Saccharomyces cerevisiae S288C: one gene and its partner. The protein of the gene in region 2 purifies or fractionates together with the protein of the main gene of each other region. This does not show direct contact. Each region holds a gene or a part of one and is shown on either strand. Other genes may lie near its edges.

Evidence for each region. The genes of interacting proteins can lie anywhere in the genome.
Region 1: the proteins of HSP78 (region 2) and AAT1 purify together in Saccharomyces cerevisiae (affinity purification with mass spectrometry, with the first as the bait; 2 studies listed by BioGRID). This does not show direct contact.

Annotation. Positions count from the first base shown.
Region 1 is NC_001143.9:235,824-239,451, reverse strand, and holds AAT1 (aspartate transaminase AAT1), read right to left. Parts: upstream 1,917-3,628; coding exon 561-1,916; downstream 1-560. Other genes in the region: SEG2 (Seg2p), read left to right, coding at 1-267; YKL106C-A (uncharacterized protein), read left to right, coding at 2,186-2,305; YKL107W (putative short-chain dehydrogenase/reductase), read right to left, coding at 2,382-3,311. UniProt on the Saccharomyces cerevisiae protein: Plays a key role in amino acid metabolism. Important for metabolite exchange between mitochondria and cytosol.
Region 2 is NC_001136.10:972,586-976,343, reverse strand, and holds the start of HSP78 (chaperone ATPase HSP78), read left to right. Parts: upstream 1-2,100; coding exon 2,101-3,758. Other genes in the region: YAP6 (Yap6p), read left to right, coding at 562-1,713. UniProt on the Saccharomyces cerevisiae protein: Required, in concert with mitochondrial Hsp70 (SSC1), for the dissociation, resolubilization and refolding of aggregates of damaged proteins in the mitochondrial matrix after heat stress.

The sequences.
Region 1 (3,628 bases), on a different chromosome or scaffold from region 2:
GGTACAGAAGGCCACCGGTTTTCATTATTCGGAAATAAAAGCCAATTGTCAAATAGGAACATATCTGGTGGAACAGCCACTTTGGAGTCATCAAATCCTGACCTGCCTACAGCCTTACCATTAAGCGTTCCGGTGACTATCATTGATAAAAATGGAGAGATACACAAGCTTCATAACGATGATGCAGCTATAAAAGATAAGTCGCATGACCGTCACGGTCACAGTAAATTCGGTAGGAAACTGAAAAAAATTTTTGGCAGGAAATGATTTGAAAGAAGAAAACATAGGAAACCTAAAATGAAATGTAAGGATATGATGCACTGCCACCGTAATTAAAATAGTTGGCTAGCGCTAGCTTTCTTTTCATTTAAAATTTAATAACTAGTTCGATCACGAATTAATCCAATCTAGTTATCTGAAAAGTGTATATAGAGTAGATAAAAAAAAGGTTTATTAATTATTACAAAAAATTATTATATTCTATAAATTATTGTGTGGCAAAATGAGAAGGGAAAAGTAATAAAAAAATAAAGACAAAGGTGAACTGTAAGGTGAAAAAATTATGCGAGTTTGTCCATTTTCGAGACTGCTTCAAGAGATTCACATAAGTAATCAACGTTCGAATCATTGACTCCGCTAAGCGACAATCTACCATCACCTGTTAAATAGACGAAGTAATTGTTTCTCAATATTTCGACTTGCTTTGGACTAAACCTTGTATAGTAAAACATACCGTGCTGTTGTGCGAAATTTACAAGATCCGGCCACCCTAGACGGTCAAACATCTCCTGTCTGACGTGATGCAATCTCTGAACCATGAAATCAACATCCTTGAACCATTGCTGTTTCAATTTGAAATCTGATAATACTACATTTACCACACGAGAACCGTATCCTGGTGGAGAAGAATACATACCTCTGACAATCTTTTTTAATTGGGAGTCAATATTTTGCTGCAATGAGTTTTTCTGTTGTAGAGGGTTGAACTTTCCATTGTTCGCAGTTGCCGGCGTGATAACGCTTAAGGAACCAACTCGTTCACCATAAAGGCCCATGTTCTTGGCAAAAGATTGACAAAGAAAGATACCGTTACTCCAATTTGGATATTTATTTACATTGAGACATAGCCTCAATAAATATGCGTCCTTTAGTAAGTTACCAGACTCTAAACCCTGATAAGCCATATCAACAATGGGTACCATTTTTAGCTCATATATAGTATCTATAATCTTTTCCCATTGCTCTTTAGTTGGGTCGAGACCTGTAGGGTTGTGACAACACGCATGCAAGATTATGCAAGGTGGGTTCTTATTGTTTTCTTGCTGGTTGTTATATGCAAAGGTTTTCAATTGCTCAATCCATCCGTCGATGTCTATCTGACCGTCCTTATAATAGGAATACCGGTAAATATTTTCAAAACCATTGTTCTGAAAAATGTTCTTATGATTTGCCCATGATGGGTCAGGTATCCAAATATCTCTTGAAATAAATAATGCCAAGAATTTAGCTGCTACAGCTAGGGCGCCTGTACCACTCAAAGTCTGAACAAAGCTGATTCTATCATGGGCTAAATAAAATGGCCCAAACTGCGGACATGATTCCTTGAACAAAAATTTCATAACGTTTTCCTGAAATTCTTTGGAACCTGTTATTGGTAAATATGAAAGATTCTTATTCAACTCTAAATGAGATTCAATCAATTTTTGAGCTTTTGCAACGGAGGGAAACGTCGTCACTTTGCCCCAACCATCTTTATATATTCCTACGGTCAGGTCAATTTTGTTAACATTTTTTACCTTTTTGAAGTGTTCAGATAACCCCAAGACTTTATCTGGAGGTGCTCTTGGTACTCTACTAAGCGATGACGTGTAGTAGGGCCTCCATAGACTGCAATTAGTAAGCCTCGTCCTCAACATCAAGTCTTTCGGCAGTGAAAAACGGATAGTAATTTTCAAATGAGAAGGGAAAACGCACTCAATAGTATGCTATCGTTCAATCCGCTATCGTCTATTCTGTATTTTTTTTTTCTTTTCAATTGCGACGGTTAGCAATTAGATAACCAAGACAGAGAGAGCGAATACTTGCTAGCAATTTATATACGTAAGCGAAAAATGTAAAAAAAAATATGAAAAATGCGGCATCCTAAATATTGGAGCAAAGCAGAATAGTGCTTCCATACTCCAAGATGCCATTTCCGTCGATATTACATCTGACAATAGGAAGATATGCGAGCTATGACTCCAACAATCACATGAGACGGCGTGCAAAACTCATGGAAGCCATCTTCCGCATCCGAACAATATGAATCATCGACGATGGTCGCATGCAAACGCCCTTTAAAAAGTGAAATATTTAAATATAAACCAATTAGTTACAGCAAGTCATTCGTTACTGGAAGTGAAAGGACTTTGATTACGCAAGGCCTTTTCAACTAGAAGTTCCGAATTTTCCATAAACTTCTCAACAACATCTTTGGTCAAACCAGGCGAAGGTAAAATAGCATCGCCTTTGTTGCTGAACATTGTACCACTGCGTGATTCGATAGCGGGGCTCGCAATCAGGGTGCATATTGTTTTCGCATACGTCTCTGCGCTTTGACAGGTCCAGCTGATTATCCATTCTGTAATGCGGCTGAGGTAGGTGTCACTGCCAAGAAGATTATTACGAATGTTCGTTTTGATCAGCCCAGGGTTCAAACCGAAAGTATCTATATTCGTGTATCTGTCTTTAGCGTCTATGACCAGACTTTCATTGGCTGCCACAGTGTTCATATGTGTAGCGTAGGCACTATACTTCTTTTCATCAGAATTCAAGTCATCTGGGTCTCCCACCTGACCATTTCCTGGAAACCCTGCTATGAAAACTTTTGGCAAATCGTCTTTTTTTGTCCTACTAATTCCTAATCGCTTCGCCACATCATGGAAGATAATGTATCTACTCAAATAGCTCACTGCCATGTCTTTTTCCAAACCCTCACTTGTAGCTTGTCTCTGGCGTGATGCAAAAATACCCGTAGTGAAAATCAGATGTGTTAACTCCTCGTAGGGAATTTCATCACTATGAGATATACGCTTGCATTCTGACACTAAACTTAAATCAGCCTTGACAAAGTTAATTTTATCTTTTAGGTCCTCGTCCCTAAAAGTTTGCCCGACAACAGTAACCCTGGCATTTCTTTGGGCCAGCTCTCTACTTATTGCACGTCCAAGTCCACCTGTGCCACCAATTATGGCCACATTAAAACGACTAAAATCAATGTCATTGATATTTTTTCTTTCCCAACTGACGGTGGGATCCTTTTTCCAGAACATCCTGCTAAATGCGCCAATATACTATTATTAGTTTTTCCTTGATACGTGGTAATATTCTGTTTGTTGGTTCACCTTTTCATTCACTTGAATTGTTTTAAATTTTGTATTTATACCTCTGCCGATTATTCCTCCCCTAATTGATGATTGCAGATTATGTAATATATATACATATATGGACGAGGCCCCTAATTGAACAACAAAAATAAAAAGTGTAAAAACATGCTAGTCTCTATATTGATAAAAATACGTATGATGTCCATATAAACTATACGTCATGCAGCTGAAGGAATCTAACTGAATACTTAATAGGTTTCTAT
Region 2 (3,758 bases):
AAAGAGCGTACCCGTTTTTGTTTTTTTAGCTAATGCCCCTTTGCATTATGCCGAAGGGTAGAAACTTTGTTCAAGATTATGCTTTCTTTGTAATTTTAAACATAGTCTTGCACTTATTTTTACTGCATGTGGATAAAAGTTTTTCGAATCGTTTGCAGGCAAATGTAAACTATTACTTTTTAATGATTTCTGATACTCTTTGATTCCATTCTGTCATACTTTTTTCTGCATTTGAAACGCTAATTAAGTATTTCTTGGCCCTGCTTCTTTTCCTTTTGATTTCTTTTTTTATTCTCAAGTTTTTAATTTCTGGAGAATCTCTTTTTTTGTTTATTTTGTTAACACAGTTAGTGGAGCCTTGTAGTATCGAGAGTAGACTATCTTTGGAAAGCAATGCGAGTTGAGAGATTGTGGAGTGTACTACAGAACCAATATTAAACACAATCTTTCCTCAAACTGTAACACCGAGTTTTTTTCCCCACCAATCGTGAATCCGATAGCATATACTTTTGTCTAGAAATTTCAATAAACAACAGAATAACGAAGAGTGCTAAGGGACAAATGCAAAACCCTCCGTTGATTCGTCCCGATATGTATAATCAGGGAAGCAGCTCAATGGCTACTTATAATGCCTCTGAGAAGAATCTAAATGAGCATCCTTCTCCGCAAATTGCACAGCCCAGCACGTCCCAAAAGTTACCTTATAGAATAAATCCTACAACCACTAATGGGGACACCGACATATCTGTTAACAGCAATCCTATCCAGCCTCCTTTGCCAAACTTGATGCATCTATCTGGTCCGTCTGACTATAGATCGATGCATCAAAGTCCTATACATCCATCTTATATCATCCCTCCGCATTCAAATGAAAGAAAACAATCAGCTTCTTACAACAGACCTCAAAATGCTCATGTTAGTATTCAACCTTCCGTGGTATTCCCCCCTAAAAGTTATTCCATATCTTATGCACCTTATCAAATAAATCCCCCTTTACCAAATGGACTTCCGAACCAGAGCATATCTTTGAATAAGGAGTATATTGCAGAGGAGCAACTATCAACCCTCCCATCTCGCAATACCAGTGTTACTACTGCACCTCCTTCTTTTCAAAACAGTGCTGATACCGCTAAAAATTCAGCTGATAATAATGATAATAATGATAATGTAACCAAACCTGTTCCTGATAAAGACACCCAACTCATAAGTAGTTCAGGCAAAACTTTAAGAAATACTAGAAGAGCTGCTCAAAATAGAACCGCTCAAAAGGCATTTAGACAAAGGAAAGAAAAATACATCAAGAATCTCGAACAAAAATCAAAGATATTTGACGATTTACTAGCAGAAAATAATAACTTCAAATCATTAAACGATTCATTAAGAAATGACAACAACATTTTAATAGCTCAGCATGAAGCTATAAGGAATGCAATTACTATGTTAAGAAGTGAGTATGATGTCTTATGTAACGAAAACAACATGTTGAAGAATGAGAATAGTATAATAAAAAATGAACACAACATGTCAAGAAATGAAAATGAAAACCTAAAACTTGAGAATAAACGCTTCCACGCTGAATATATACGAATGATCGAGGATATTGAAAATACTAAAAGAAAGGAACAAGAACAACGAGATGAAATAGAGCAACTAAAAAAAAAAATAAGATCCCTGGAGGAAATAGTAGGGAGACACTCGGATAGTGCCACGTAATACAATAAATAGGGAGCAGATATTGATCTCTAGTACTGGAAGATCAACTTTTTGCTTTGGCCTTATAGGTCATATAAATTTTAATAATTAATGTAACAGACAAATCAAGGTGTGATTCTGTTCTGATAAAATTTGTTATTTTCCAGAATGTTCTAGAAGTGTTCTTTCATCTAATGGCATCGCGTTTGAATAGGGGGTGCACGGACTTTTTTTTTTGAATAAACCCCTGTGATTCATTGTATCTAAGCTCATCAAACCCCCTAGTTACTGACTCACGCACACACATATATATACATATATATGCATATGTAAGCATGAAAAGTTTGACTTCTATTATCTATTCCAGGAACCCTGAAACAAGCGAGTGAAAATCTTTCAAGGTTAAATATGTTAAGACAAGCTACAAAAGCACCAATACAAAAATATTTACAGAGAACGCAACTATTAAGGCGAAGTACTCCACGAATATACACTATTGTACAGTGTAAAAGATCTATTTGCAGTTTTAATGCAAGACCTCGAGTAGCCAATAAACTTCTATCAGATATAAAAACAAATGCATTAAATGAAGTCGCTATTTCAACCTGCGCCCTCAAGAGCTCATATGGATTGCCCAATTTCAAAAGAACGTACGTCCAAATGAGGATGGATCCCAATCAGCAACCGGAAAAGCCAGCTTTAGAACAATTTGGTACAAACTTGACAAAATTAGCGCGCGACGGTAAATTAGACCCTGTCATTGGCAGAGACGAAGAAATCGCAAGAGCTATTCAAATTTTATCAAGAAGAACAAAAAATAATCCATGTTTGATCGGTCGAGCTGGTGTCGGTAAAACCGCCCTTATTGATGGGTTAGCTCAAAGAATTGTTGCTGGGGAGGTCCCTGACTCGTTGAAAGATAAAGATCTAGTAGCTTTGGATTTGGGATCTTTGATTGCTGGCGCCAAATATAGAGGTGAATTCGAAGAACGTTTAAAAAAGGTTTTAGAAGAAATTGACAAGGCCAATGGTAAGGTTATTGTTTTCATTGATGAAGTTCATATGCTGCTTGGCTTAGGTAAAACTGATGGTAGTATGGATGCTTCTAACATCTTAAAGCCAAAACTGGCCCGTGGGCTACGTTGTATCTCTGCAACCACTCTTGATGAATTCAAAATCATTGAAAAAGATCCGGCTTTATCGAGAAGGTTTCAGCCTATCTTATTGAATGAGCCGAGCGTCTCCGATACGATTTCTATACTAAGAGGTTTAAAAGAAAGGTACGAGGTTCATCATGGTGTAAGGATCACTGATACAGCTTTAGTGTCTGCTGCAGTTCTTTCAAATCGTTATATAACAGACAGGTTTCTACCTGATAAAGCCATTGATCTAGTTGACGAAGCTTGTGCTGTACTACGTTTACAACATGAATCCAAACCGGATGAAATACAGAAACTGGATCGTGCTATTATGAAAATACAAATAGAACTGGAATCTTTAAAGAAAGAGACCGACCCTGTTTCCGTGGAAAGAAGAGAAGCGTTGGAAAAGGACCTAGAAATGAAAAATGATGAATTAAACAGATTAACAAAAATATGGGACGCTGAAAGAGCTGAAATTGAATCTATCAAAAATGCTAAGGCAAATTTGGAACAAGCAAGAATTGAGTTGGAAAAGTGTCAGAGAGAGGGTGATTACACTAAAGCATCCGAGTTGCGATATTCCAGAATTCCTGACTTGGAGAAGAAGGTAGCTTTAAGCGAGAAGAGTAAGGACGGAGATAAAGTAAATTTACTTCATGATTCAGTTACTTCTGACGATATTTCTAAGGTTGTTGCCAAAATGACTGGTATTCCTACAGAAACGGTGATGAAAGGCGACAAGGACCGCCTACTGTATATGGAAAATTCTTTAAAAGAAAGAGTCGTTGGCCAAGACGAGGCCATTGCTGCTATTTCTGATGCTGTACGTCTTCAAAGGGCTGGTTTGACCAGTGAAAAGAGACCTATTGCCAGCTTTATGTTCTTAGGTCCTACTGGTACTGGTAAAACAGAATTGACCAAGGC